Linked DNA regions of Schizosaccharomyces pombe. Changing the gene in region 3 together with the main gene of any one other region gives a genetic interaction. Each region holds a gene or a part of one and is shown on either strand. Other genes may lie near its edges.

Region 1 (8,595 bases), on a different chromosome or scaffold from region 3:
CGCATCAACGAGGTATGTAATTTCAGTGTATTTGTGTTGAGATTCATGGAGTATACAATGCTAATGAAGCAAACTTAGAATGTTTCTATGAAAATTTGAGGAATAATGATCAAATGTCTGTCACTTATCAAACAAACGTTGGTGGTGATCAGCTTGTTTCTATGAGTATCTACAATCCTGCGGGTCAAATTATGCATCAAGAGGTTCCCAACTCTATGGCCCAATATTCTTTCACCGTTAAGAACCCAGGGAAATACATGTATTGTTTCTATAATGTATGTGTTATCTTTTTGTTTTCTGGCATCAAAGCCTGGCATTATGGTCGTCATTTCCCATGTCGTCTAATTGTTTGATGGTTGAGCCGGAAACAGCTAGATGTACAATCTTAACTAACAACATCAATAGGATGCACTCGATGGTGAATCAAAGGAGGTTTTATTCAATGTGCATGGTGTTATATATATCTCTGATGAAGATTTGGATGCTAACAATCCTTTACTCGGCAAGGTCCGCCAACTCCATGATACCATCTCCAAGGTAAAACATGAGCAGGAGTATTTTGTGGCTCGTGAAAGAATACATCGCAATACTGCTGAAAGCACAAATGACCGCGTCAAGTGGTGGAGTATTCTTCAAACCGTTATTCTAGTTTCCGTATGTGTATTCCAAATTTTCTACTTAAAGCGACTTTTCGAAGTAAAGCGTGTTGTATAGTTTATCCGCATAACGTTACTTATTGTTCGCAATAAGTTTTCCGTGCGACTGGACGACGGTCGTAATTTCAAGATTCTGCTTGAGCAGCAAAAAGTATTATAATTGGTCTCTATTTGAAGCTGGCCATCACCGACGACTAAATTTTTTTTAAAAAATTTTATTTCCTGTCGGTTGCTGGCGTTTTCCCTTTCAATCTGAATCTTTAATCTGTCTTTTACTTGTGCAGGTTAATGTTTTCTTTTATGATCTCGCCTGTTCTTTAAAAAAAAAGATTCGTTATGTTTGAAGCAATCATTTAGCAAACGTACGTGTTTTTTAATGAATTTTAAAGTCTTAATTTCTTAAATCATTCTGCACTGTGGGAAACACTGCACTTTAACTTTCACATTTTATGGCATTCCGATCTTTCTAAAGGTACACTTTTTTTATAGACGGTAACATTAACAGTATAACAATTCCCTCATTATACATTTGCTTATAAAACGAATTATTTAGTCTGTAATGCCACTTGTATGTATTACTTATTGCTGTATTCATGGCGATGTTTGTTACCTCCTTCTAATGTTACCTTCAAAGTATCTATGAAAATTCATTTACTACACCAAACTATAACCATTACCATTTATCGTAACTCAATGGCACAAGGAGAATTTAAAAAGAAGAAAAATAGTAGTGCCAACAAGGGCGGACGTGTTACAAAACACTCCAAGAATCCTAAAAAAGGCGGTATGTCAGCTGCAACTGTCAAATATTCGGTGATCTTTGTATGCTAGGGAATTTGGTTTAGGGATGTTTCTTTTAATATTTTAAGCTCATTGAAGTTGTTGGACAACCTTTGTGGTGCTATAAACTCTTCATCTTTTCGTAACTTTAGATACTCATTATAGTAAAATTTTTCATTAAATTTTTTGATACACGTTTCAATCATTTTACTCTTAAGCATACAAGATATCATATTATATGGTTTATCATTCATCATTAATACTCATTACTAACCTTGACTTTTAGCTCGTTATTGTGCCCCTAGAAGAGCAGCTGCTATCAAAGACCATACAATTAATGCGGTATGTTTTAAAATTTACTTTTATATATGTTCTTTTTGCTAATATCTTTAAAGAACATTACAAAAACATTAAATGTTCGCAATGAGAAACTAATTGCCGGAATTGCGTCTCAACAAGTGGGCAAGTTGACAATTACTAAGGCATTAGGTGAAGCTGGTGCCAAGGAGTTAAAGGAGGGAAAGCATTGAGTCGTTTGGTATTTCTTTTTGTGTAACTGTTTTGTTCCTTTTCAAAAGGAGGTAAATGGCTACACTTGATCATACTGCATTTATCGAATTGTAGCATTGGTTTTGGAATTTTATTACTATTATGGTTAAGTATACAGGGAATTCGGTTCATTTTTGATTATTATTTATAAATTAATTTTGTTGGGAAATGAGTAAACGTTATATACAAATATTGTTGTTTGATAATTTTCTTTAAATAATTAGACTCAGTAGTGTTCCAAATAAAAAGCTCGTAATTCTAAGATTAATAATTATGTTCCACAAAAAAAATGCTTTTAAACATTCTTAAGTCCTCGTTCGTTTGTTTCGCGATAAGTTTACAGAAGTAGTTTTCGTTTTGGAGTTCTGTCCTCGCCCAGAATTTGACTCTGCATTTGAAATGGCTTTATTTAAAATTCTCCACTCCTGCTGCCATGTGTCGAGTAATGTTCTAATTCTTTTAATCTTTACTCGTTTTTCTGGAGTATCTTCCGGTGGGTGTTCTCTTTTAAGAAAATCAATCAGCTCTGAAAGCTCTTTCTCTGAATCGGAAGATTCCAATTCTATTCTCTCTTCCGCTTCAACTTTCCCGTCACCGTTAACTTCTAAATCAACTTCTTCTTTAATGCTTTCTTTTTCCGAAGTAGCCGTTGTTCCTTCTACCGGTTTGTGATGGCCACGTAGCATTTCTTCTGTTGCCGCAGTCGCTTTTTCAACATTTTTTCTGCTTTTGTTCTCTTGAATGTCATTAAGTTCTTTCAGCACTTCAGTTGTGTTTGTTGTAGTGCTTTCGGGAACCGGTGATGATTTGGTCGAAGTAGTGGTACTTGTTAAGTAAGAGATTCTAGGTACGATATTTTCTTCAGGGATTTGATCACGTTGAGGGCGTATGTCATAATTGATTTTCTCAACAACGGCTGCAATCTGTTGTTTCAGAATACTCGAAGATTTAACCTCTGATGAAAACCTTTCCATTCGAGGGTTAATAGGCTTTGATACGTTCTCGACATTATCAGCGCTTTCCAAAGCTAAATTAGGAAAAGACATTGGCGTCCCTTGTGTTGATCTCAATGTTGACGAAGTAAATATATCTGAAACGACCAACACTCTTTGGGCCTTCAAAAAAGCCAAAAGAACTGAAGGATTGGACCATAATTCATAAGCATTTCGAAATGATGGATCATAAAATATTTGACTTCCATACTGAATACAGAGATTAGCCACAGCTTTCCGATCACAGGTATGCTGTGATACACGGATTAACCAAGTAGGGTCAACGGCTAGTAAAGTAGCATGCGTGGTATTTGTTTCAACGTCGGTTTCCAAAGAGTCTAAACATTGTATGACAATTTGATTTAAGAAGTTTTTTTCCTCAACGGGAGTGGCCGTTTTTTTCTGTGCTTCAGTGAGAGTAGCATAGGAGTTAAAGTCCTGCACTTTTGAGGTTGAAATGCTAGCGACTGCAGAGTCTCGAACAGGGACGAACGCTGAGTTGGGAGTTAGCCGACAAATGTTTTCTTCTTTGTTGGCAAACCGCAAACTGCGGTATTGTCGGATTAGTACGGGACGCGCATAGGTTTTTCGACTACTAAGATCCTCTGCATCTATTGGAAGTCTTTCATAAGGAACTGCATTAACGGTTAGAAATTTTAATAAAAAAGAAATAAAACATCAAAAAAGAAATCGATTTTTCAAGTGACATTGTAGTAGATTTGAATTTTCAGTCATCATAATTTTTTTATACAATCATTTGCTTTACAGAAAACTGTACGGTTAAATCTCCCAAACATTTTTCCTAGGGAAATAAAAACCCAAGGGCTAAATGTTGAAATCAACCATTCAATTTCGAACAGAAACAACAAAAAATATAATTAACGACCAACGCCACAGTCTCATCCAACCACTCATGCCAAGTCATGAATAGAGTAAAATTTTATATGTTTCTTTGAGAAAATTGAATTGATATAACCTTAGAGTTATAGGCGTGCAAAATGTTTGATAAAAGATCATCAAAATTGCTATCAAGCATACGACGATCAATTGAAAATTCACAATTTTAGAAAAAGCGATAAAAATAAACTTGATTATATCTAATATTCATTCTTACCTAGAGTTAAAAGGCAGTTGTACAAACGACCTCGATCGTCATATTCAAAAATGTTGCGAACGAATGTATCAAGTTCCTCGGTCTGTAGAGGATGGAATGCACTCTGCAAAAATGAAAAGAACTCATCAATATCCGGTTTTTTTTGACACGATTTCACCATTACTCTGTGAGTTTTGAGTCATATATATTAAGTAGATCAATGTTGTCTTCAGTTATTAAGAAACAAATAGCGAGGGTATTGAAAGGAAATATATACCAAAAAAACAAATATTTTAATGAATTCAGTTAATCATGTGTCAATAAATTGTGAATTTAATCTCTATATTATTAACAAATTGATTCAAGTGCTCCGTCGACTGATTCACTGTCTGCAATACTGTTTGGTAGTTTGCAAGTTTCAACGGTAGTCGATTACTAGAACGTAAACATATACTTTACACAATCACTACATGTTAAAACACTTGAAAACAAAAATTCCAATAAGCTTTAATTTCTATTAAAATTTACATCTCTATTGTTTTGACACCAAAAGCGCTAAGGTGAAAGTATACGATAAAATGTAAGTACGGTACAAAAAATACAAAGCAATTCCTCCCGGCACTTTGAGAAGGAATTCATCCTGACGAGAGTCAGAACAAAAAAAGAGAGAGGATCGTGCTTTATTACCAGACGTTCTGATAATCATTACTGAGACATATCAGTGATGCAATCCTTAGTGCTGCAATAATAATTAAAGAATATTTCAAGGAACTAAAGGAATCTTTCTAACTTTGATTATATAAAATAATTTTAATATTCTAGTGATGAAAAGATTATTCCTCGTTCGTTTTTTGGTTTACTATTTCATTTATCACGAATAGTGCTACAACTAATATGTAAACTTTTACGTTTAATACTGATGAATCATGTGAGATGTCGATTGAAATCTTTAAAAGATATTCTTACGTATAACTAACTCTCAACTTCTTTTATAGCCACGGTTGTAATATTTCTATTACATAGGATTCATCTGCATTAGGACAGTTAATTTCAAACAAATGGATACTTCTGTAGTTTTCTGAAATGTCTTCTCGAATTTTTTACCTCTCATTTAAATGAATTATAAGAAGCTAAAGAACAATATAAATTTTTTGTGTAATTGGCAATACTACATTACAGTTAAGCCCCAAGAAGCGAGTAGAGGCACATAGTAGGGGAACTAAAGGCTCCGAAGGCCTTTACTTCAATCTTTAGGTTCATAAAATATATAACTTAAAATAACATGTCTTTTTAAATGGTAATTTATTGAATAAAACCTATTTTCAATTAACAGTGGGAGATGGGAAATTTAGTGTTTAAACATTGATTAACAATGAACTATACGAGGTAACGCAGAATATGTGTTACCCATTCAGCAAATCTTAATTGTTCATGAATCGTGGATAAGCAAGGAATATACGATCCATACATTTTTAAATACGAAGAGAATGTTAGAGAATTTCATCGATGGAAGGTCATTTTACTACTGAGAGGTAACGGTAGAATACTGCTTTTGCATTTTCCAACTTGACAGGGTTCATTCGTCAAAATCGAATATAAAGCGAAATTACAATAATAGCAAGATAGCCGTGGCATACAATTAGGTGTTATTTTATCAATTGGTGAATCTTAATACCAAATAAGAATAATGTGTATTCTGAAAGAGAGGTGCAGGAAAATGCGTATAAAGCAAGAGGAAACAGCAAAAAAAAATTATATTAATTTTGAACAACATCATTTCATCTCAAGATAAATTTGTTCCATTAGTCAATTTTTAAACATCATCAGTTTTGATAGCCCTACGGTCGGCGAATTTGCAACTTTGCATATGACACTTAAATTTAATATTTGGGATAAAAGTAAATATGGCTTGACCTCAAAAGAATGCATTTGAAAATTAACAAAATTGTATGTTTTCGGGGGGTTTTTTTTTTTTTTTTTTTTTTTTTTAAATGATCAGTGAATTTTATAAGGTATCCGATATGATTTTAACCCAGATTCAAAAACAGGAATATTATTTTATTACATTAAATTTTTGAAGCATCAAAGTCGGATATGTTTATTTTTAAACGAAATTGCTTAACAAAAGAAAATATTAAAAAAATAAAGTCTGATCATTAACAAGCTATATGATGTTTACAAAATCTACCAAAAAAAAACACATATATAAATAAAAGAGGAAGAATGAAAATTACATTTCTCGCAGTAAAAATAAAACACTAAAAGAGCTAGTGCGTACAAAACACTCCATAAATATAAAATAAATGAACATACAACAGAAAAACCATGAAATTTTCTTACACCCTTGATATCCTTTCCTACCTACTAAAGTAGATTAACAGTGTAGAAAGAAAGGAGCGATATATAAAGCAAAACGCTATATTTACTTTACGAAGCACCTTTCAAAACGTTACAGTAGCTGTACATTCTGTCAGGTTCCTTTATAAAGTCAGTTGCAAATTGAAATATAACGTAGCCTGTCATTAAGTTGCTTATATGAAATAGAAAAAAAACCTTCACTATCGATATATAGTTAGACAACGCAAGTTAGCACCAGTTGGTAAATTTGTAGCAATAAAAATGTGAATCCGCTACATTGTTTGTATGTTTATTATCGAAATGTATTGCCAATTCTTTAGTTATAGTAGCTTTATCTAGTAGCAAATGGAGGAATGATACCTGATAGAATTCAGCAGCCTTTTACTTTAAAACTGCTGTCCCAAACTCAGACTAGAGATACCAGCTACGACTTTAGGGCTTAATTTGGGCAAAAGAGCATAATGTCATTCATAAAGCATATTGATTGATTAAATAATAACGTATTATTGTTTAGTGACTATAGTTTAAGAACTGTGCGACGATGCATTTGCAGATCTTTCTGACTTGATACATTATGCGTGAGCGCAACTGTTTTACACCTCCAACCAAGTAGGCTAGGCAAGACGACTGACCTTGATATAAAGAATTATTGTTGAAAAAAATCATCACCTTGAATCTTTTTGAGTCATTTTATGCTAAAACATGTCGGCTGCTGGTGGGATAGTTTACGTTATTGTGGGTGGAAACCGTGGCATTGGACTTTCTCTAGTCAAAGAGTTAAGCAATAAGGAAGGAGTAACTGTTTTTGCAAGTGCTCGTGGACCTGGATCTGCCTCTGAACTGAAAGATTGGAGCAAGACCCATTCCAATGTACATATCATCAAGTTAGATGTCACTTCTCTACGAAGTGCCAAAGACGCTGCCATGCAGGTTGAAAAGGTAGTAAAATGTATTGATGTTCTTTGGGTGAATTCGGGGATATCGAAATCCTTCCAACCTGTTTTGAAAACATCAGACGAGCTTTGGATGTCTCATTATCAAACCAATGTGTTAGGTCCTATTCATGTTTACCAAGCTTTTTATCACTTGTTAAAGGAGGGAAAGCTAAAGAATATTGTTTTTACTTCATCAATGGCTGCGTGCATGGGAGGAGTTCGTCCAAACACATACTCGGCTTACGGGCAATCTAAAGCAGCCTTAAATTATACGATGAAAGAAATTAGTTTTGAGTTAGAGAAAGATGGATTCGTTGTAGTTTCTATTCACCCTGGAGTAGTTAACACTGACATGTTTGTTAATGCTATGCAAAAATTAGCCAGCAAATATCCTGAGATGGTAGAATCCATCAAGAGCAATGCCATCTCACCAGAGCAAAGTGCTTCATCTATGCTTAAAATTGTGGATAATTTAAAAACAGAGGATAATGGAATGTTTTATAACCTTGATGGCACAAAACTTCCATTTTAATGGAAGTTCGCCTGTCAATGGTTTACGCAACAAGACACAAAGCAGTGCCAACTTGAATCAATTATCTATAAATTATGAATTGAATACTCTGGTAAGATTTCACTTAATTACTTTACGAAATACTTAAAAAAAAGCTTGAGAATGCACCTTTCAGGCTTATTTGAATTAAAAACATACGAAATAGCGCAGCCAGGTTTAAATTTTGATATCTGTGTTTAATGCTCTCGACAAAGCCTCCTAATCATTTTAAGGACGCTGTAAGCCACGCTGAATGCTTCTCTGCGAGCTGTTCATTCATTATGTGAGTAATAGGGAAACGTGATAGATTAGTATTTACAACTATGCTTGTAAAATAATTTACCACAAAGTTGGGACTTGTCATGGGAGACCTGTGGAATACAAATTCTATTACAATTCATTAATAGAGTTTAAAATTTTGTGAAGAGCCGCTTGACCACGTACTAGTATCCGCTGCGATCTCAGCGGTTGAACATAGGAGCATGTGATGGAGAAAGCACTTGAGTGATTTACTGTAATAGAGTTGAGCGCATTATTTTTGTTAGCACATTTCACTAGAATGCTTTATAGAAGATTACAGATCTTTAGCAAATTTGATGCCATTTGCTGCGATCTCTAGAAACTTCTTCGCACCCGAAAGCGCATCTTAAGGTTTTTCCGGCAGATCTTTTCGGGGGATTGC
Region 2 (8,342 bases), on a different chromosome or scaffold from region 3:
AAGCACTTTCAATATATGAAAAAGATATCGTTGAAGAAGTTGCTGTCGAGTTGTCGTCTCGCGTGGAAGCTGCGGTTCAGTCCGGCGTTCATCGATACAATATTATACTGGATCCTGGCTTTGGATTTGCAAAAACACCTAAACAAAGTGCCGGTTTATTAGGAAGACTTCATGAACTGATGAAAAAACCGCAGTTTAAAGATATGCATTGGCTTTCGGGTCCAAGCCGTAAAGGGTTTACTGGTTACTTTACTGGAGACGCTAGCCCCAAAGACCGTATATGGGGTACTTCAGCTTGTGTTACAGCTAGTGTTTTACAAGGAGTAAGTATTGTACGTGTACATGACACTAAAGAAATGTCTAAAGTCGTTGGTATGGCTAATGCTATACGTTACGTACCTTAATTGCTTTGTTCTAAAATTCCAAGTTTAATATAATTTTGAAAACTTTGTAAAACAACAGTTAACGTAAGAAGTTGGTTATGTTTAATAAATCAAATCCAACGGGTTATCTTTCGTCGTTGTAGACCCGAGAATTTATCAATAACCAATGTAGTATCATTTTCTGACAATGTTCACGGATATTGTTAACAATTTAATTTTGAATTGGATATCTAATATTCACAGGTTGAATAAAATTAGTTTCATTATATCATCACATATTGTAATTTTAGTTAACGAGGATTATGTTTGTAAGAGAAGAGAAAATAACTGTGGCAATTATACACGCACTTGCAGATGCAATTGTAAATTTTTTAGATATAATGAATAGTTGTACCAAAAATGTTCCTGCTTTTACTTTTTTTTAGAAGATAGACATTGGAACGCGGCTTGCTTAAAAACCTGGCACGTGCCTTTTTTATTTTTCGTGCATTGGTAAAAACAGTACTGTTTAAGTATTAATAAGCTTAAATTAATTCTTTAAATTCACAGTCTCCAATTTTTTCTAAAATTCTTGATTTTGGTATTTTTGCTTAGCCTTCGCGTTCGTTATATTTATATACTACCAACCACTTTAAACTAAACCAACCCCGTACCTTTGGTAAAGTAGCCACTACTGCTTTATAAAGCTATTTATTGTTAATCTCTTCCACAATGAAAGCAAATAGAGACTTTGGAAGAGATGGTGGCCCTTTTAGTATTACGCCGAATCGATTCCAGCCTAAATCCAGCGGAAATCCCATATTCCGACAGAAAACCATTCGAACTGTTGGGATAATTGCTTTAACACTGGTCTTATTTTTATTCTTCCATCGTTCATTCTTCTCTTCTTTTGGTGAATTTCCCAGTTTTTCTTCTACCGCGAACGCTCCTAATTCTGATGTGCAAGAATATGACTTGCGAAAAGTAATGAACGCTAAATTTACTGGAGATTATTCACCGAAAGAAAAGGTGTTGATTTGTGCTCCACTTCGAAATGCTGCAGAACATCTTAATATGTTTTTTGGTCACATGAATAACCTGACTTATCCTCACGAACTTATAGACCTTGCCTTTCTAATTTCAGACACTGATGATAATACTCTCGAGGTTTTGAAGCAACATTTAGACGCTATTCAAAATGACGAGGACGAATCTAAGCATTTTAACAATGTCCTTATCATGCTAAAGGACTTCGGTGCTATTTTCGGTCAAGAATTCAGTGACCGTCATGGATTTGCGGCACAAGGTCCCCGAAGGAAATTAATGGCTCGTGCTCGTAATTGGCTTTTGTCAGCCGCTATACAGCCTTACCATTCTTGGGTTTACTGGAGAGATGTTGACGTGGAGACTGCTCCAAACACTATTTTGGAGGATCTTATGCGCCATGATAAAGACATTATTGTTCCTAACGTTTATAGACCCTTACCAGATTGGTTGGGCAATGAGCAACCATATGATTTAAATTCATGGGCTGAATCTGAGACTGCTCTTCAGCTTGCAGATACTTTGGGCGAAGACGACGTTATTGTAGAAGGATACGCAGAGTATGCTACCTGGCGCCCTCATTTGGCTTACCTTCGTGATCCTAATGGTGACCCATCTGTTGAAATGCCACTGGATGGTATTGGTGGTGTATCTATTATGTCTAAAGCTAAAGTACACCTAGAAGGTTGCGAGTTTCCCGCATTTTCATTTGAAAAGCATGCTGAAACCGAAGGATTTGGAAAAATGGCTAAGCGGATGGGGTTTTCCGTTTACGGACTTCCTCACTATGTTATTTGGCATATTTATGAACCTAGCGATGATGATAAGCGTATTATGGCTGAAATGGAACGCGAAAGGAAAGAAAGGGAGGCCGCAGAGCTTGAAGAGGCTAAAAAGTATCAGACTGCTGGATTCACGCAACCAGATGATCAGGGTGCTGAAGAAGGTCCTTTGGCACATGCAGACGATCATGTTGATTAAGCTCCCTTACTTTGTAAAAAAATTCCTGAGCACAGTAACCATGTTTTACAGTCCTCTCTCTTCTTTATTTAAATCGCTGCCCCTTTTCACTTACATATATAATGATGGTCGCGTTTTTTCTTTATTCTTATTTCTTTTTATCTCTTTTAAACATATGATCAAGACATAATTAGTAATTTTAGTGTTATTCTGCCCTCTTTTTTTTAACTTGGTATACGAACTCATAATGGGATGCACGTTAGGATGATGCTTGTTTCTTCAGTTGGTGCGCTTTAATGCTATGCCAGGAAAAAAAGGAAGCTCTTGGTCTTATTCTCTCTTTAAGGACTTTTTCCTCCAAAAAGCCTTGTACATACAAACATCTTTAGTTTGTTGTTTATTCGACAGTGGGTAGGGCAATCATTCTCTTTCTTTACATGCACCCATTAGGAATATATGCCATAGAACGCTGTAAATATACAAAGCAGTTACCATGGTTAAACGGCATTCATATTAATTCTATTACGATACTGATACATATCACTGTCGAAAAGCAAATTTCAGTAGAATTTGTTGATTAGTTTACTTAATGGTAATCTGCTCACGTAGCATGAAAAGAAATTTCAATTTATAAATTGTTGAAAACTTCATATTAAATCATTTCAATCGCATAGGTCATGTACAAATACTAAAAGAGGTTAAGTCGTCGAAGCTTTAATGTACAATAAAACGCGTAACTTCGTCTTTTATCCAAGAACCCTTGGTTTTTTATTCTTCTTTTTTAAGTTATTTTTCTTCGTTTTGTGAAGGAAATCCTGCCAATTTCCCACACGATTATCTCTTGTCTCTTCCCAAACCTTTTCTGATTCTACACGACGCTTTCGTTCTCTTGCAATTTCATCTTGACGCGCTTGTTCTCTTTGCTGGTTTGCTAAATCGAGCTGCCGTGCTCGTCTTCTTGCAACTTCATCTGCAATAAGGATTTCACGCCAACGTACTTTTAAATCAAATAAAAACTGGTCTGAATGGACGTCTTCCGAATTTGGAGACAATTTTTTTTCTTTCAATAGTTGGTTCCTTGCAGCTGTGTAAGCCGAATCAAGAGATTCCCGAATCTTATCATTAACTAGATCAGACTCCGCCTTTTTTAAAATGTCGAATGCGTCTGCAGCTTTTGGGTTATCGCGATTTTTGTCTGGATGAATCATTAATGATTTTTTCCTGTACAAATTTCGAATATCATCAACACTCATTCCTGGCAAAATATCAAGAACATCATATGCATTTAATTTAAAGGAAGACAATATTCTGTCAATCTCACGTCCCTAAGTAAAGGTTAGAATTCATCGACTTTGTTTGATTAGCAAGTAATATACGCATAGGCAAAGTTATTCTATTGTTTCATTGTAGTATATAATCTGTATAAACAAAAAAAAAAAAAATTCTGAGAATAAGATAAATCGAATCAACCTACTAAGGTACATCTAGAAATCTTCACATGCAATGTCAATAAAATGCTAAAACTTACTCTGTTTAAACTTCCTTCAACTCGATCTAAAAACTTTGCAACGTCTGCCATTTCTGACCGAGCCCCAAAATTGAAATTACAAGAGTGCAAATTTCAAAAATCCTTTATAGATAAATTTGGTGGTGAGTTAGGTTTTGCATTCGCCAACTTCTGGTATCGAGGGTAAGAATCTGTAAGTACGTTTAGAAACAGGTTCTTTACATTTGTTCTTTAAATGTAATAATGTATATGAATATACATATTCATTTACATATCGATGTGTCTAAGGTTTAAAAATTTACCGTCCGAGAGTGCTCTTACGAATCCCTAATTAAGTTTGAATATTAGTGCATATTAACTATTAATGGGTTTGCAATTTAAAATAAGATGAATGAACTAGATGCTACAGATCCATCTGATTGGAACCAAACGAAAATACCATCGTTGAAGGGCTTGGATTCTTCTTTACGATGTCTGATTTGTCATGAATACTTTCGCGCCCCCTTAATTACTTCTTGCTCACACACCTTTTGTTCGTTTTGTATACGCGATTATCTGAGAGAACATCCTATGTGCCCTGCTTGTCGTGCTCCTGAGCAAGAAAGCCGCTTAAGAAAAAACACTATATTAGAAGAGATTTTAGAGTCCTTTAAAGTGATCAGGCCAACATTGTTTGAATTCTTAAAAGTAGAAAATGTGCCAAAGCCAGTACTTCAAGCTCCTGAAACAGTTATCGCACAGGATTCAGCTTCTGGCGATGAGGAATGGGAAGACGACTTGGCTTCAAATTCATCTCCTGCTTCTATAGCTAAAAAGACATCTAGGGATTCTAAAAAGAGGAAACGTGAGGATTTAGTTCACTGCCCTGCATGTTCAAATTTAGTTCCTCATAATCAAATTAATCAACACTTGGATTCTTGTCTTAACTCACCTTCTTCCCCGTCTTCCTCTTCCTCACCTTATAAAAATAAGGATAATAGTAAATCTAATTCATTACTATCATTCAAAACAGATGATGATTCTATCACGAAGCGCAGGTTAAGGTCGTTTAACTCTGCAGATGAACTACCCTTGAAAGATCGAGTGCGGCTTCCCAAACTAACTTATGCACTCCTTTCCGAATCAAAAATTCGTTCCAAATTATCAGAGATGGGGCTTCCAACCGATGGACATAAACAACTATTACAACGTCGACATGCTAAATGGGTTACCCTTTACAATTCTAATTTAGACCAGAAACAACCTGTTTCAAAAAGAAATTTAATTCGCCAACTTATAGATTGGGAGCGCGTTCAGTCGAAATCAATTGGAGTAGAAAAAGAAAAACTAGGAGGGGGCGATTGGGAGAAGGCATACGCTGAGGATTTTGCTGATCTCATCAACCGTGCAAAACAATCAACAACTAACAAAAATGATTCATTGAGGAACACTGCTGTTGAATCTTCCACCGAACCTTCTACATCTAACGGTTTTCCTGCCACTTCAGTTAGTCCCCCTCTTACTATTGACCTTACCAATTCACAAACGGGATCCGATGGACCACAGTCCTAATCATTAATTTTCGTTGGATTCGTTTTAACGAATTTTCATTATCAGATTAACTTATTAGTTTATTTCGCTATATATAATCACATTAATAACCTGTAGAAATTTTGATATTTGGTAAATAAAATAATATACATTTTGAAAGTGGGGCATTTCTAGCTAGAAGGAATATTAGAAGCAGGTTGTTTGGAGACTTCGACTTCGTCAAGTGCTGCAACACACTCCTTCAAATCCTTCCAATCGATTTTTCCATAAAACAATTTTGCTTCCTCTACAAAAGGCTTGGCACGAAAGGGAATGCGACATCTCAACCAAGCATCGGCAGTTAATACACACCAAAGTGCGGCTTTACGAGTTCGCTTATTAGAGAACGGGTCCGTAGATTCAGTTTTTAAATAAGAAAGGGATTTAAAGAGAGTGTGAGTTTGTTGAAAGATCATTGCTCTTCCTACAGGACCCAATCTCTTAGAATAAAGCAAACCTGCATTCCAGTTAGCAGCATCGTCCACTTTTGGAGCTGGTAAACAACTAAGGAATTGTCCCAGGAGAAGGAAACAGCGCGCAGCATGATAATAGGAATTGAAGGATTTATTCAAATAATTTAACATAGCAGATTGCATATACTCGTTTATTCTCAATGTGTTCGTCAAACTCATATATGGCATTTTTAGGTGTAAAATATGTTCAGTTATTACAATCATTTCTAGAGAGGCAGCAGAATATAAGCAAGCACCATCATTTTCATACTGTCTTGATGCAATTTCATAAATCTGATTTGCATGAGAATAATCTCGTAGCATGAAGGAATAGTCGGCAAGTTTCCTAAGATATGCCTCTGGTGAAAATGGACGATAGGCATTAGATGAGGGGAAATAGTTAGAATTGGTAGAAGCATTCGAACTAGATAAATATTTTCTGGATGCAAATAACAGCTTACCGGTAATCCCTCGTCTCGGAGAAGCATATTGATCATCCCATGCTCTTACGCATTTGTCCAAATAAGAGACAATTCCGTTGAACGCAATGTGCGAAGATAACCGTCGCAGTGATTCATTGTCGGATTCAAAGAGTAATCGTATTTCAGTATCCGTATTAGATAAAAGGTGTAAACGTTCTTCAGCAGACAACCAAGAGGATGTTGGAAAAGGAACGGTATGTTCATAATCTAAGGTAGCCTTTTGTGAATGAAGGCGAAGAAAGTATCCACAATCTCCAAATGTCTGCTTCATCGTATCAAATATAGCCATTGAAAGCTCCAAATCATGTTGATCTTCATCATGAACATATACGAAAAGGTAGTTTATATCATTGAAAACGAAAGCAGGAAGGGAAAGGTAGGGAATCGAATTAATCAAAGATCTGAGAGATTCAAAAGGACTAGGATTATGCGAAGTTACTACGACAAGGTGAGCAACGGGATGAGAAAAAGTTTCAAAAGGAGTAATAGGTATCCCAGTTAGTAACTGTCGCACATAGACAGGAAGTGGCATTTGGTAATTCCCTTCATGAGCCAATGTCCAAGCCCATCGTTCAACGTTTTTATAATGAACGCCAAAGGAATAATCTGAAGGGGGTTCAGGTGAAACAAGACCTGGATATCGCTCACATAAAACCGAGCGAAGTGAAGGAAAAGATGCTTCACTTAAGTGGCTTTCTAAAGCATCAATTGGGACAAAATGTAAATTTAAATTTTCCAACGTCAGCATTTCTCCATTCATTCCTCTACGGTTTACCTTTCCACGAATACGGTCTCCAAAAGGATACAACAATTCCCAAAACCCCTTAGGATATCCCTTCCTCATGGCAAACTCGTCAGCATCTCGGGAACATAGGACCGAAACTCGCGGAGCATATGCTTCTTGGATGATGGAACACAACTCCTCCATCGAATACAGTCCTTTCGACTGCATTACCTTTTCAAGATCTTCTGTTACGGGCTCTTGAAACAATTCCCCTGATGCATTAGCACTTGCATGTTGAAAAATACCTTTGGCGGAAAGGTTGCTTTCCATATTTTGCTGAGTAAATGTCAAATTCAAGCTTTTTCAATTAAAAACTCGAAATCCGACACTTAAATGACTTTATTACAAAGCTGATGTAGTGAAGAATACATGCAATGCACCTTTATCAACAAATTTTTTAGACTAGAAGTTAACTACCTCAAGGGTATATGGAGAGGATGTACGAGATTTGACAGCAGACTAGGTCACTACATAATTAATTGAATATAAAAAGAAAAAAACGATTTCATTTAATAAAAGTCTAATTAATCAAATTATGAGTATTTTGTTCGTATATTAGAGAGCTATGTAAAAGGACTGTACCGATCATCTAGACGACAAATATCGTACATTGAATTCACCTAGTTTGAGCCTTGAATGCTAACCAATGCTAAATGAAATGTAATGCTTTTTGGTGAGCTTACATATTATTTAAAATAATGAAATAAATATAGTAACAGCAAGCTGCGACTATAATACACTAGTTTTAATAGATATATAAATGAATTCTCAAATTGATATATGAGGACAAGGGTTTAATGTTGCTTCATAGTTTTATATTCATCATCATTCGTTAGAAAATCTAAACACTTGACCGATTAGAGTATTGCAGTATTTTAAATATACAGTTTGCTTGAGCATGAAAATACAACTCGGTAGTGAAACTGTCTTTTTATTCTAAAAGGAACCCAAGCTTAACCCAAAAAGTATAAATATTACTGAATATTTAAAAATTGACTCGTATTTTTGAACCAAGAATAATAAATCGGCTACAAGTTCTTTTTTAGAAGCACCCATGAATGTTGACTATATAAACCAACCACTTTACCATGCTTTTGAATTTATCTAAATAGAAATTTATTAAATTCACCTTTAACAGAACAAGTAGCAATTTGATTGATCTAAAATTTCTCGATTTATTAC
Region 3 (5,697 bases):
TATAGTAAGTTGAGTTGCTCGACGACGAGATAAATCAAAGACCCAGTAGAACACAAGAGTTAACAAGAAGAAGACAAAAAAGTGACAAACTTTGTCGTTTATAGGAACCGGTAAAGCAGGAGCAAACCCTCTAAATACAATGTGTTTAGTAACATAATCATTTATCAATATAATTGTTTTCAAAAAAAATAAATCCTTTAAAAGGCTGAATTTCGATAAAGTAATAATAAGGAGCAAAGCGTTACGAATACGAATGATTTAAAAACGAAACTAGTTACATGTGCGGAGTTTACTTACAGGTAAGCAGAAATGATAAGCAAACTAAAGTGAAAATTGGTTAGAGAGATGTGAATCGTAAAGAATGATTTTAATCTTGCAAGCTGCACTTCCTGATTTACTTACACTATGAATATCGCCAAGACCTTTTTGCGTATAGCAAAATGTAAATAGGATGGGAGCATCATTTTTTTGAATTTAATAATTGCATTCAATCAACAACTTTATGGAAAAAAACAGTGAAAACGACTGTCTGTAATAGAAGTAGTGGGTAGTACGGTTAAAGAAGCTACTTCCTCTGAACCAGCCTTGTTGGGCTTAGCGGATCGTAGTATCGACCAACAAGCGACTAAACTTACCGAATAGCACTTTTAATTCAGTACCTTAAACGAAGTTTATTGTTTGTTTATTATTTTTATAGCAATTTATATGATATGTAATGGAATAAATGGGAAAGTTGAATTTCATACTTGACAAGGTTTTTATATGTACTAAACAGTATTAATATCAATAACCACAGATACCCAGCTTCACTATATGCCAAAGTACTAATAGTTTGCACGTCAAATGGTACGTGGTCAAGAAAATTAAAAGAATTGCCAAAGCGTTCATTCAACTTTTTTGCGATGAACATTTAAATTCGTGGTTACTTCTTTGTCAATTTTATTCCATGCAGCAAATTATTGTAAATTCTTTAATAAATTAAAAGCGCCTTGTATAAAAAATCTATAAATGAATCACAAAGGATGAACTGCTACAAACATTGACGACCTATAATATTTTGGAGATAGTTGTGTTTGTCATTACGAATTATAACAATAGATGACTTTTGAACCTTCGATAAGATAAAAAATAAAAATAGTATTCATATTTACGTTTTATTGATCATTTTATAGGTCTCTAAAGAAATAGTGCCATATAAAGTAATTGAAATCATTTTTAATCATTAGCGGTCCAAAAACTGGATATCAAAGAAATAAAACGTGCTAGACAAATAAAATAAATTTTGAATAAAAAAAAGAAGATCCTCTTATAAATAATATAATGTTAATTCGAAAATTCATGAGACGAGTTTTTAACATCGAATCGACTATCAGCAAACTCTAAACCAAAGGCTATAACTGAGGAAGAAGAAATTCCTTCCCTTGAAGCAGCTCTTGAGATACTGTATAAAGAAAAACAAGCTGATCGACCGATTGAACAGATTGCATTCTTTGTGACCGAAGACTGGAAACTATATTTGCGATATTATCCACCTCAAATTTCGAAGTTGAAGTAGAGTCATCTGTTTGAGATAAAATCTCAAATAACGCCATGAAAGTTCCCGTTCTGCCACAACCCGCTGAACAATGGACTATAATGGGTGCTGTTTCAAAGTCCGGAGAATATGAGAGACTTTTTATATAGCGAGTCAGTGATAGTAGTGAGAAGGTATGTGGTGCACCAAAGTCAGGCCAACCGTTATAGTAAAAATGCAAAATTTTTTTCTTGACCCCGTCCTTGTTCAGCTCAAATTCACGAACTTGAACTTCATTTAATGATGTCAAAGTATAAACTTTTACCAAAATAACGCTTAAATCACCGATATTAAGTGTCTCAAACAGTTCCACTGGCCAATAGATATCACATTTCAGACGATGGCGTTCCCTCAATTTGGTAAGCATAACGATGATGCCTGATTTTGGCACAGATTGCCAGACCATCTTCCAAAAAACATCAATACTGTTCGACGTTGGACCCTATATAAATAAAGAAGACTAAGTTAGTAATTATGTTACAAAAAATGATGAAAAGAAAAAAGGCCAAAGCCGTTTACAATCCCGCAATTTCTTTTTATTCCTAACCTGAGTAGCGATAAATGTTTTCCCAGAAGGGATTTTTACTATGGAAGCATTAATGTAATCACATGCTTCTTTCCACATTGGATCTAAACGAACACGAGTATTTTCATAAGGGACTATGTTGGAGTATCGGTTTCTAGCCAGCGCTTTCTTACTTAGCTTTGGCAACCTAGTATTTAACAGCTCTATCTCTTCCTCATTGAGTCCCTCAATAATCATGTACGCTTTTTCTTTTATTGTGATCAAGGGTGTTAGAACACCATTTTCTGTAGATACTTCTTTAAAAGACATATTGATTTTTTGCGTTTATTCGCTTTTAAACTTCTCACCGAAGTATTTTTTTGTGTCTATCAAAAAGAAAGAATAATTTCTACTAAACGACTTTAAATGATTCCTAAAACCATGACAGAAGTCAGTAAAAAAGAGAAGTATAATTGTTTAATAAATCATCATTGTACGGCCCCCACATAGCGCTAGTTTCTAGTTGTAGTCGTAATCTAGTTCACGTTCACATTCACTTCGTAGGACTAGGCCCAGAGTATTTGCGAATGTCTATGTGGGGGTAACTCGAACCTTTACGAAGCCGGTAGTATGAAGAACAAGCTATATGTGGGATACTTTTATAGGTTGTAAACAACTGTATTGATGATAGTGAATAAAATGATTTAAACGCACTTATGTTCTCTCCAAGGACTTAATCGATCTGCTATACTTTTACTTTCAAAAACAAAAATATTTAAAGTGTAGAGAAAAGTTTTGACGTTTCTTATATAAGGCCAAGTATTATAATACTTGCTCAGCAATTGTTTCATTAAATGCCTGTTTGAATGTCGCCATTGTTCTTTAGGAGTTGTGTTTGACTCGTTTGACTCCCTTACTTGGCTTCTTTGGTTTTAATGTAATTTGTAAAGATTTCTTTGAATGAAAACGTGCCTAAATTGGTTTTAGGTGTTCTTTCTTCTAAGGTTTCCAATAACTTTAACTCAGAATTAGTAAAAATCATTAATTGTTAACAAAAGCTTATGACAGGTTTTTTCTATTCTTTTTTTTTGAATGTTCGCTTAAGAAAAGTCATATGTAAACATCAACGAAGCCAGCTTGGATATGTTTATGATTTCTCCGGTAATAGCAGTTGAAATGCTATAAACTAACAAATTATTCATTTAATAAGAAAATCAATAATTTACTCGATGTTTAATATTATTTGCTTGGAATGCTCAAATTGGATGAAATGAGACTATAAACAACAAAAAAACAATCGTCGTCAAACTATAATGCTATATAATTAAATTATAAACGTTTACTTTCCACTATTTACTATTTCATAATTTTTGTTATATATCCATCCACCCTTTTACCAAAGCACATCAAAAGTGTCTTTGCTGGTATAGTTCTATGAATGCGTCTAATAACATTTCAAAATTTCCTGATTTAGATAATTCTTCAAAATTAATTGACCACATACTTGATAGTGATGATTCTGAAGAGTTGGACGAGCTTCCTGATATCTCTTCTTTGGTGCCTTCGGCAAGAGCCCAATCGCGAAAACAGTATTTGAAAAATGATTCTTCTAATTCATCTACATACAGATGGAATATTGATCTTCTTTCTAGTACTGCTACAATTGACGATTCGGTTGCAAAAAGAAGAAAATTAGCAGTACAAAATTTATTGCAATATGACAGCACTCAAACCTTTCAAACGGGAGATGAAATTGATGAATTAATAGGAAAAAGTGTTGGATCAAATGTTTTGAATGTTCTACGTTCTAACCCTATTTATGATGACGACCTTAGGTACGAATATTGTAGCAATTCAAAAGCTCGTGTTCCAGACTGGAACACCCTGAAAGCAGAATGCTTGAAAGATAACGATTTGGAGTTTAATGAAGGAATTATACCAACAACTTTTGGTGATTTATTATCGGCAAAATTGGTCCCCTTAGATATTGCATTGTCAATATGCAGCTTGCAATTTTTCCGCTCTTTAGGAGACACAACATGCTCTGAATGGATTGCTAACCTAGAAAAGATTTTTTATAGCTATAAAAGCAGCTCTAATAATCTCAACCAAATTGTACGATTTATTTTTGAGACTACTGCAGATATGATTGGCATTGATTTAGCGAAACGACAGGTACCAATCCAGTTGGAACGTACGTCAGCCTCAGAAAATTTAAAAAGCAATTTGAAAATTAAGGTAATTAATTTCCTAAAATGCTGTGGAACTTTGTATCGGTTCTCCGACGACACTGTTCGCTTTGAAATGATTCAGGATGCATGTCGAATCTTAATTGACAATCAAGTGGGCTCATTTTGTAAATGGCAATTTTCTCAATTCATGGAACTTCCAATATCATTGAATCCAGATTTTTTGATCAGTAATATTCATAAGGTGTCTGAAAGTCCTAGAGTTTGGGTTACAATACTATCTTCTTTGTCTCGTTCCTGCCAAAAATTCAGAAAGAAGATTGCTTTTACATTATTTGTTGGGAAACAAAGTAAAAATGATGATTCAGACTTTTCTTCTTTATGTCAACGACTAGATGAAATTTCCGCTTCCTGTAATAATGACTATACAACTTTATTGTACCAGATTCGTACCTTCGGATATGCGGTGGATGAAAAGCATTTTAAAACTAATGAGCGCTTAGAGTGCTTACTGGAAAAATTACGAAAAATAGATTTAACAATATCTGGTTCAACAGACCATTTGCTACTATCGAGATGTGAAGTTAAAGATTGCATACATAGACTTTTTATGGTGCTTTACTATTTAAATACAAACTCAGCACCAGAATTGGAGAGGATTATTGAAAGTGACTTGCCCAATAATAATAAACAAAAGGACAGGTATTTCAAGGATAAAACTTCTAACTTATCGATGAAAGAAAACAAAAGCTTTTCAGCTAAAAAGGTGAAGAAGGGAAAAAAGAAAAATAAACGGCAAGCGTACAAAAGATAAACAATCAGTGTATTTATTAATATTAATTTCAGTGCTGGCGCAAATTCAACAAATTGTATAATACTTTCTAACTAAGAAATCCATAGTTTAATTTAAAAGAAAGTTACTTATTATAATTCCCTTGGAATTACAAATGGACAGAAAAGAAGAAAGAAGTTACCATCTTTTACGATAGTCAAAACTTAGCATCCATTGAAAGATATTGTATCCACTTGATTAATAGAAAGCAGCTATGGGAATAATTTATGATAAGAATCAGCAGAAATCATACACAATCCACATTTAAGAAAACAATGGAAGCCGAACTTGCGATCATTTAGCCTGAAGCATTAAATACTTGGATGAAGCAAAAATTTGAAACAAGTTATAGATAAATGCTTTAAATGAACTTGAGAAAGATTATAAGATAAAGCAAAAGAAATTAATGTCATGAAAGAAACAAATGACGATATCTCAAAATTTAATTATCGAACTTTCGGTTAGGATTTTCACCGAAGAGAAGACGTCTAATTTCAGGAAGGGCTTCTTCCTTCACAATCTCTAAGCGAGCACGCAAAGTGTTATCAACACGAATTTTACCACCCAAACCTACTAAAACGACACCTCCAAGCACAGA
Region 4 (8,497 bases), on a different chromosome or scaffold from region 3:
TAAGTGGTTTCTCACATAAAGTATTTATAAACGCAGTTCTTCCAAGACCGACATCTCCAACAACCATCAGGTTCAAGGGGATTCCTTTCTTTGAACTTTTCTTAGTCGTCCGCATCGTTAATTCTATATCAATTTGCCCTTTGGTAATATGGGTTCTTGCAGTGAGTGTGTCATTTGAATGTAGAAACAAAAGTTGCACTACTCCGAAGTCTTCGTTATATGTATACCACATTTCACTACGATCTTTTATCAATACCGTGTCATAGTAAGGTAGGATGAACAATCAAAGAATGTATTGTACGTTGTAAAAGAAAATGGTAATTACAGAAAAATTAGTTACAATGATTATTGTACCTTTTTAGCTTAACGACACAATTCAGCAATAGTTACTTCACATAAACCAACTGACGACTGCTTATAAATAGTATTAAATTAAGAACATTAATCGGGAAACACGAAACGATTACTTTTAATGAAACCACAATACTAGCGGTAAATAACATAAGCAGTTTAATATTGATAAGCAGATTTATTTACAATACGATCAAGATTCCAAATGATTTATGGCTCGACAAACGCTAAACGTAAATCAACAACATCCGGGAAAAAACTGCAAAGATAGATACAGAAAACAAAAAAAAATTCGGGCGTAATAGAATACATATTAGGTATCGGTGTAATTACAATCCGAAGTTGTCTGACTCACGAATTGAACACATTCACGAGTTTTTTTTTTTAATAGATGAAATGTGTAATAATGAAAGATAGGTCGGAAAAAGTTATGAATCTAAAAAAAAAGATAGGAAGAATGAAAACGGTATAAACAAATCGTGAATTCTTTTCCAACTTAAGAAAATTGAAAACTTGTAAATCCAGGGAAACCACCCCCCATGCCAAATCCCTGAGAGTTGTACGAACCTCCCGGGAAACCACCGCCTGGGAAACCACCTCCTGGAAAACTACCTCCGGCTTGGTAAGCCCGAAGAATATCAAAAGGATCCATTCCGGCACCTCCCTCCATACCAGGTTCAAGATCGACACCCGAATCAAAACGACGTCGGCTTTCTGGGTCAGAAAGAATAGTATAAGCCTCGCCAACTTCTTTAAAGCGTGCTTCAGCCTCAAGATTGCCAGCATTTTTATCAGGATGATATACCAGAGCTAATTTACGATAAGCTTTCTTAATTTCAATATCGGTTGCTTCCTTGGAAACACCTAAAATCTTGTAGTGATCTTTACGCTTCGACTTTTTCAATTCTAGCTGAAGCCGGCGTAATTCTTGACGCAAGTTAGCATCGCTCGCATCTAGTTCTATAGCTGACTGCACGTCTCTAACTGCCTCTTCCCACTTTTCAAGAGCTTCGTGAGCCTTAGCGCGAACTTTTAAACCTTTTAAATAAGATGAATCTATTGCCAAAGCATTGTCACTGTCACTCAAGGCTTCCTCCGGTCGTTTTAAGCGTAATAACACAGTAGCTCTATTCATGTACAACTTGGCGACAGTTTCTTTATTATCAGGATCAATTTGCAAAGCCTCAGAATATTTTTCGTAAGCATCTTGGTAATTACCTTGACGGAACAAATCATTTCCTTGATTTTTGGTGTTCTCGAGTTTACGAACTTGCTTGAATAATGTTTTGGCCGTAGTGCAATCAGGATCTAATTTCAATGCTTCTTGAAAATGGGTAATAGCCTTCGCATTCTCACCCGAATAATACATTACTTTACCACGGAGGACTAAAGCTTCTACGTTCTTAGGGTTAAGTCGTAAAACATCGTGTGCAATTTTTTGAGCACGATCCATATCGTTCTGAAAAATATATACCTGCGCTTTCAAATACATCCACGACATTGGGGGTTGAGTAGTACTATCAATACGACGCTGAAGGCGATCAAGAGCATTAAGAGCTAATCCAGCTTGCTTATTTTTCAAATACACCTCTGCCTCATTTAAAATTGATAGACCTTCGTAAGCCTGACGAATACGAGATTGTGTTTTTGGAACGTCTGGCTTAATACGGTCGGACTGTTTCGCGTCACATAAAGCCAATTCAAACTCACCAATCTGCATATAAGTAGCGGCACGATTGGAATAATAAATCGCCAACGCTGAATCTGATCCTAAATCAATGGCTTCTGTATAGGCTTTGATAGCCTCTGCATATTTCTTTTCTTTATAGAAAGCGTTTCCTATAGCCTTTTGCTTTTCAGCTAGCTCAGCAGGCTCTTGTTGGCTCTCTGTACCTGCATTCATGTGTGTGGTTTCGACTTCAGTCATTTTGATCGAATTAATTTAAATATTTAAAAAATTTAAATTTTATTTAAAATGACAGAAAGTTCAGGAACGCTTTCCAATCGCCGAAGCGTAACAGATCAAAAAGTCAGTGGTAGGTAAATAGATACGACCAAACTATTAAATTTTAGTATCACTAATAAGGAACACTGCTGTAGCTCCTTAAGCATGTCCCCGATATTTGTCCAATTCGTGAAAGTAAGTCTAAAATGTTCTTTGAATAATGTAATTGTGAAAGATAGAATATAAATAAAAAAATGCAAGGAACTCTCACCAAGTTTTTAAACGATAGTTGTGTTTTCTGAAATATCATAGGTATGTTTACCTAAACTACTTAAGTTAAAACTATTTTCTATTTTTGCGACCGTGTATTCTATATGCTAATAAATAGCGGATTCATGACTTAAAAATTTTTATTAGAAATTTGGATAAAAGTAAAAAAAATATTGCAAGTATTTAATAAAATTTATTTATTTATGTTCGAGTAAGACAAGTCATTGTTGTCCTATGCTAAATGTTATTAAAATTATCATGTCTAGTCAATTCATCATGGAGAATAATATCTAATCCAGATGATCTTATTTTGTTAATAAGCTCATTCTCCTTGGGTTTGTTATTTTGCATTACGTCCTTTTTCAATCGAGTAAGATACTCATTAAATCTTTCAACTTCGTCTTCCAAAATTGAGTGTAACCTGAGAGATTGCAATGACTGCAAAGCAAGATCGTACTTAGACTTGTCAATAAGATTTTTAATTACTTTTTCCATTTCTGTCAAAGCATCCTCTAGTCCAAAAGGGTTTTTCAAAACTTCAGTGAAAGTGCCTACTGGGTCTTTTTCACTAACGTGAAGGACTAATAATTTTTCTCCTTCCTGTTCATCGAGACCAGAATTTAGTAGTTCTTCTATTTGTTCCTCTGATATTGGGGCGCCTGTGTCGAAGGCTGTTTCTTGAGAAGAATATTTTGGTTTGACGGGGACGTTCACTGTAAGTTTTTCCTTAATCAACTTCAAGTCCAAAATGCAATTATCAAGTAAACTTTTTGGAGGATTGGTGTAACGTGTTAAGTAAATATTTGGTTGAGGAAGATCGCCTTCTGGTGAATTTGCATAATAACTGATAGCTTGTTGAAGTCTATGTGGTATCATACTAAAGGTATTTTCGGGCTCAAAAGGAGGATTGAACCCACAATCAGAGGAATCTAAATCCATATTATCGATATAATTACTTACGGCAAAATCAATTTGTCGCATATCCTCTTCATTTGACAGTTTCTCGAACTCTGAGAAAGAATAAGGCCGAACATCTTCAGCGAATGGAAGTTGTATATCAACCAAGTAATGTCTTTTAAACTCCACGTAAGGCATCAAGACCAGCAAAACTGGTACGCCCTTATCTTTAGAAACAAACCTTGCGAGCGCATATCGGTGTTCACGTTCAAGGGATTGAACAAAGGCAGAAAAATTTAATTTGCTTTCGAAGTCATCTTTTGGAACGATTATATTAGTATCACTAATGGTATAATAAATTGGAAGACTAGATTTAGGAATAAATCCAAGGATTTCATAACCGGGTATTGTATCTAAAGCCAATACGTCTTCATCTGATCGGCTGATCGGGACGATTGTCCTACCATAACTATAACCGCTTTCCAAGTCTTCTCTTTTAACCTCAAAAGAATCGTTTGTTTTTGGATCACGAACCATGTACGATCGAACAGTAGACACTGCATCAGATTCCATACTTTTGTTTTCCACATTTGAATTTTCGATATTAAGACATTCATAATTTTTAGACATATCGTTTTCATAAAAAGCAGATGATGTTGGCGGTTTAGTTAAACGAGTTCTAGGATATCTTTCAACCTGTATGCTTATAGACGTATCTTTGCTGTCTCTATTACCAATACTAAATGTACCTCTAAAGATTGCGACAGGTCTCACTTTACGAACCCAAGGTTTACCGATGTTGTTATAAATCTGTTGAAATGTGCAGTACTGACCATGACAACTCTCAACAAACTCTTGAATTCGAACTTCGTTTTCCTTTTTCTGAGATTCCTTTAAAGGCTCAGAATAATTAATATCTTCTTGATCAAAATCAACTCCATAAACACCTAGAAAAACATCATGCTGCAGTAGTTGTTCGGCAATTCCAATGTAATCACTAAAGTCGATAATCCCCCTAGCTGCCGTAAGCACTATCATCTTCTTCTTCCATTTGTTCTTTTTACAATGCCGAGCCATCAAATCAAAGGACACAACTATTGCAGATATCAGATCGCCTTGCATAGTATTGCTTGGTTTTAACGTTTGAGAAACGGATTGTAGCTTTGAAAATAAGGCACTAGTTAAGAAGTTAATGGAGCATTTAAGAGAAAGCTTACGTTTGTATAGGATACAAAACACTGATATTCCAATAGGCTTCCTGCTCAGCTAAATCATTTTTCGTATCTAAACACCGTAAAAGTTAGAAGTAGTGTACCTTTAAAACATTACAATAGAATACCATCGCATTTGTAACCAACGATTCCAACTACGTCTGTCTTCCTATTTGCTAAAAACTGAGTATGTGTCAATAGGGTGTCGATAATGTTGAGCAAAATACCTTATGAGACAATTCGTCGTGAAAATACGACAAAGTCCATTCGAGATCAGAATGAGACCTGCCATGGTGACAGGTCCCCATATCTTTGCCCAAGTCAAGTACAAAAACAGTACATTCCTTATCACTCATACGAATTGTTAAGGAATACAGATTTGGTGGAGGTCAAAGCAAGGTGAGATTTGTTGTAGAACATTGGGGCCTCCGATGCTTTCAACAGTTAGATATCAATTACACGGTCATTTTAAATGATTCAGGTATTTTCTTCGCGGTATGAATATACTACATTAACAGTAAGTCCAGCAGCATATGTGCAAATGCACATGTGACTGAAATGTAAATAACCCAAAACATTGTATATAAATTAGTCAATTCATTTTTATAACTTAAATCAGAAACTCTTGAGAATTGAATTGGAGCTATTAAAGTTGCTAAGGTTTTACGCACATTAGAAATTTTGCATAGCGATGCTTTTACTTTCAATTCACACATTAATTTACAAAGCCGTGAACTCATATCTCAAGATGTCAATAATTAGTTAACATTCAGTTTAACTATTCATGTTAGATCTTATTAGTTTTGTACTAGGCGATTAAAACACCGAGCTGCCAGATGCATATCGCTCACAAATCTTTCGTACTACACGCAAATTACCAGAAAACGATACCACCCCCTTGAGGTATAATGTTTAAGGTGATATTTGGTTTTCTGTTGTGAAAAATATATTAAAAAACACACATATGTACTTCAATTATCGAACATACACATTTATACTTTGTTTTAAAACGCCAAAATGGTACGCTTAACTCCTCGATTAGTAGCCATTTTCCTTGTTGAAAAAACAACATCAGGAGCTAATTTCGTCTTTCACTGGCCGCTACAACCTCAAGTACGTCTACAAGCCACTCATCATAATAATGATTCAGCGGAGTCTGCAATCGGGATGCTCGACCTTGATGACAGCGATGATGATGAGAATAATAGGTTTACTGAAGTAGCTGACGATACACATGTACTTGGTTATGAAAAAGGCTTTCTCGCAAATATGCTAAGTCCTCGTATTGAACTTTGCAATCAAAAATTTGAAATTTGGGTGGATGGTCTTACTTTTTTGGGATGTCCTGTTCATATTGGTCCGAACGGTGAGTGGGCTAAACGAAGGAAACCACGAACTACTGTTGAGTCTAATGCTTCTTCGAGCCATTTGGTATCAAAGCCCGAATCTTCACACCCTTCGACAGGAAGTTTTGAAGTAAAATCATCTTCATCAAAATCGAGATCTTCAATGTCTTTATTTCATGTCGTCTTTGTATTAAATGTGCCTACAGCTACCGTATATCGCCCTACTGTAAACACGATGTATGATCATATAGTAGTCAAGTTAGTTACTGGACTTAAATATGAACAAGCAAAACGGAATTATGTTGAAAATGAGTGTATACACATCTTAAAACTGACTGAAAAATATTCAAGCCAAAACGTCCCATTCGATGTGTATGCCGCTCAAATCCCTCATCACTCAAATCTTGCTTCGGTTCTTGCTACTACATATGAGGCTTTAATTAACATGCATACGGCTTATTTAGAGATAAATCAATCGATTAACTTAAGCTTACTCTGGCCTATGTCGGTTTCCACCAACACACTTGAAAATTACGAACTGCAGGTTAGACCATCAACTATTTTAGCATCTCAAACCATCTTCTCTGAAGAACATCCTTCCTCTATTGAACCTTTCGTTGCCCCCTATTGGACTTTGTTGCTCTTAAAGGATACAGACACTATAATGAAACGTGTTCCTCTTTTACAAAATTCTCTTCTTTCTTCTTTCATTGCCATAGTAAAACCTAACTTAACGTAAGTTTTGTCAAGTCTAAACAAAATTTATTATTGCTATTAAATACTAACTTACAATATTTCAGGTTCACAGATATCGCTAATCGTCTAGGAATATCAGTATCAGAATGCTTTATTCTAGCAAAACACCTTATTCATTGGAGAAAGGCTATCGCTATTCCTCCTTTGTTAATCCGGAATACTTATGTTACATCCCCAACTGCTAATCTGTTTAATTTGGAGGAGGAGTCAAAGCTTTTTAAAAAGGAATTTCCGAGCCTTCCCTCACTGTCAACATTTTTAGCTATTTTGTCGTTTAAACCGCGACCATTTGCCTCCATTATTCCATCGAAAGATCATGAGTTAGTTTATTTGGAAATGCTTGCTTGGCTGTGTCGAAGAAATTGGGTTTATGAACAGAATATCTATATGTATATTCTCGTTCCAGAAGAAATTAAGAAAAAAGCGATTGCACTAATAGAATCTGATGAGTCTTCTAAAAATGACATGCAGCTTAGAAAGCAACTTGAACAAGATAATGGCAAAGAGTCTATTATCATTGATCCGCACTCTGCCTCTTTGCTTGAACAGAAATGGATTCAAATTATAGCTTATGAGAGGGGACCAGAAATGGCTCCATTGTTTACGTCAATTGTCAAATATTTAAATGGTAGGTTTGCTTTACAAACTATATGGGTTGCCGAAGGCTTACCAAGGAAACTAATGCGAAATATTCTTAATGAGTATAATGATTACATCCTTCGATGGCATTCTTGGTGAAACTACGAAAGTATAGCTTGGACTAGCTTATTAATATTTAATCAAAATTTAACACACCAAATATATTACCATTGTACGATATTAGTAAATTAATTATTAGAAAACGTCTTTGAAATCAAGTCATGACAAATACCTAATTATACAACCTATTCCATCAAGCTTTTTTTATATTTTATAGAAGACCCCATCTTTAAAAAAAGTAGATTATACTTTTTGATAAGCAATAATTCCCACATTTTCGTCTAAAATTTCAAGATCTTCTTCAAGGAACCATTTAGGCATACAATAAGTCCTAAATGGAATCAGTAATAAAATAATAATAGGGAAACCAATGGATGCTTTATCAACCTGAGTAATTGCAAAGGTAGCACCAAAACCTATTAATTGCAAAATAGTGTATAACCAAACTACGCGTTTTGAGCTACAGTGGTTTAAAGTATGGTTTTTAGATACCACCTTTCTGTCACTTAACATCCAGATTACGTTTTGAGTGATACCGTTGCCAAATATTGCTGAAAACCCCATCACCTAAAATTCAGTTAGCAAAATATAATCTTCCCTTCAAAAAAAAAAAAAAATACCCAAAATAATCCTGCTAAAACACATTGAGGAATTTGATGTAACACCAGTAAAAGTGGACCAGTCATGGTGCCAACAGTCATCAATCCCTGAATGAAATTACTAGCTCGTTGTTCAACAACTCGATCTATAACTTCTTTATGCGTTTTTTCAATTTCGTCTTCATCATAATCAACCCTTTTAACACAAAGTGCTGCAGTATGCATGGGAGCCTGTGGAATAAGCCCATTTGGAGCAGGAATACCTAAAATACCACTCACTCCAGTCGTTATACCAAGAAGAAAAAAATCCCAATGAAATCCAGCAGGTTTGGTTAATGGAAACGAAGGATCTTGTGCCATTACAGACTACTAATGTTAAAAAAAGGAAATTAAACAATACATACAGAAACGTTATGATCAAAA

Evidence for each region.
Region 1: of nse6 (region 3) and nts1, extra expression of one rescues a mutant of the other (dosage rescue), as found in Schizosaccharomyces pombe (one study listed by BioGRID).
Region 2: mutations in nse6 (region 3) and rhp18 impair growth when combined (synthetic growth defect), as found in Schizosaccharomyces pombe (2 studies listed by BioGRID).
Region 4: mutations in nse6 (region 3) and pku80 impair growth when combined (synthetic growth defect), as found in Schizosaccharomyces pombe (2 studies listed by BioGRID, with this or other methods).

What each region holds. Positions count from the first base shown.
Region 1 is NC_003421.2:930,673-939,267, forward strand, and holds nts1 (protein Nts1), read right to left. Parts: upstream 4,484-8,595; 5' UTR 4,252-4,483; coding exon 4,092-4,251; exon of another isoform or gene 4,023-4,091; intron 3,613-4,022; coding exon 2,291-3,612; 3' UTR 2,065-2,290; downstream 1-2,064. Other genes in the region: COPII-coated vesicle-associated protein Emp24, read left to right, coding at 1-12, 79-275, 406-714; SPOM_SPCC24B10.18 (uncharacterized protein), read left to right, coding at 1,350-1,440, 1,723-1,778, 1,832-1,966; SPOM_SPCC24B10.20 (dehydrogenase), read left to right, coding at 7,131-7,895.
Region 2 is NC_003423.3:1,065,998-1,074,339, forward strand, and holds rhp18 (postreplication repair E3 ubiquitin-protein ligase), read left to right. Parts: upstream 1-4,030; 5' UTR 4,031-4,260; coding exon 4,261-5,424; 3' UTR 5,425-5,573; downstream 5,574-8,342. Other genes in the region: fol1 (dihydropteroate synthase), read left to right, coding at 1-404; mannan polymerase I complex subunit Anp1, read left to right, coding at 1,095-2,387; DNAJ protein Spf31, read right to left, coding at 3,113-3,691, 3,895-3,945; TRAPP III complex subunit Trs8502, read right to left, coding at 5,574-7,430. UniProt on the Schizosaccharomyces pombe protein: E3 RING-finger protein, member of the UBC2/RAD6 epistasis group. Associates to the E2 ubiquitin conjugating enzyme ubc2/rad6 to form the ubc2-rad18 ubiquitin ligase complex involved in postreplicative repair (PRR) of damaged DNA.
Region 3 is NC_003424.3:5,295,549-5,301,245, reverse strand, and holds nse6 (Smc5-6 complex non-SMC subunit Nse6), read left to right. Parts: upstream 1-3,465; 5' UTR 3,466-3,512; coding exon 3,513-5,081; 3' UTR 5,082-5,197; downstream 5,198-5,697. Other genes in the region: SPOM_SPAC11E3.10 (ER or Golgi multispanning membrane VanZ-like family protein), read right to left, coding at 1-130, 298-321, 403-464; protein tyrosine phosphatase Pyp3, read right to left, coding at 1,392-2,015, 2,121-2,408; vma4 (V-type ATPase V1 subunit E), read right to left, coding at 5,542-5,697. UniProt on the Schizosaccharomyces pombe protein: Acts in a DNA repair pathway for removal of UV-induced DNA damage that is distinct from classical nucleotide excision repair and in repair of ionizing radiation damage.
Region 4 is NC_003423.3:4,300,338-4,308,834, forward strand, and holds pku80 (Ku domain protein Pku80 ), read right to left. Parts: upstream 5,066-8,497; 5' UTR 5,031-5,065; coding exon 4,902-5,030; intron 4,858-4,901; coding exon 4,803-4,857; intron 4,748-4,802; coding exon 4,681-4,747; intron 4,641-4,680; coding exon 2,804-4,640; 3' UTR 2,686-2,803; downstream 1-2,685. Other genes in the region: mitotic septin Spn3, read right to left, coding at 1-115; SPOM_SPBC543.02C (TPR domain protein, DNAJC7 family), read right to left, coding at 848-2,278; Npr2/3 complex subunit Npr3, read left to right, coding at 5,692-6,755, 6,821-7,514; bor1 (HC03 family inorganic anion exchanger), read right to left, coding at 7,719-8,042, 8,096-8,440, 8,479-8,497. UniProt on the Schizosaccharomyces pombe protein: Single-stranded DNA-dependent ATP-dependent helicase. Involved in non-homologous end joining (NHEJ) DNA double strand break repair. DNA-binding is sequence-independent but has a high affinity to nicks in double-stranded DNA and to the ends of duplex DNA.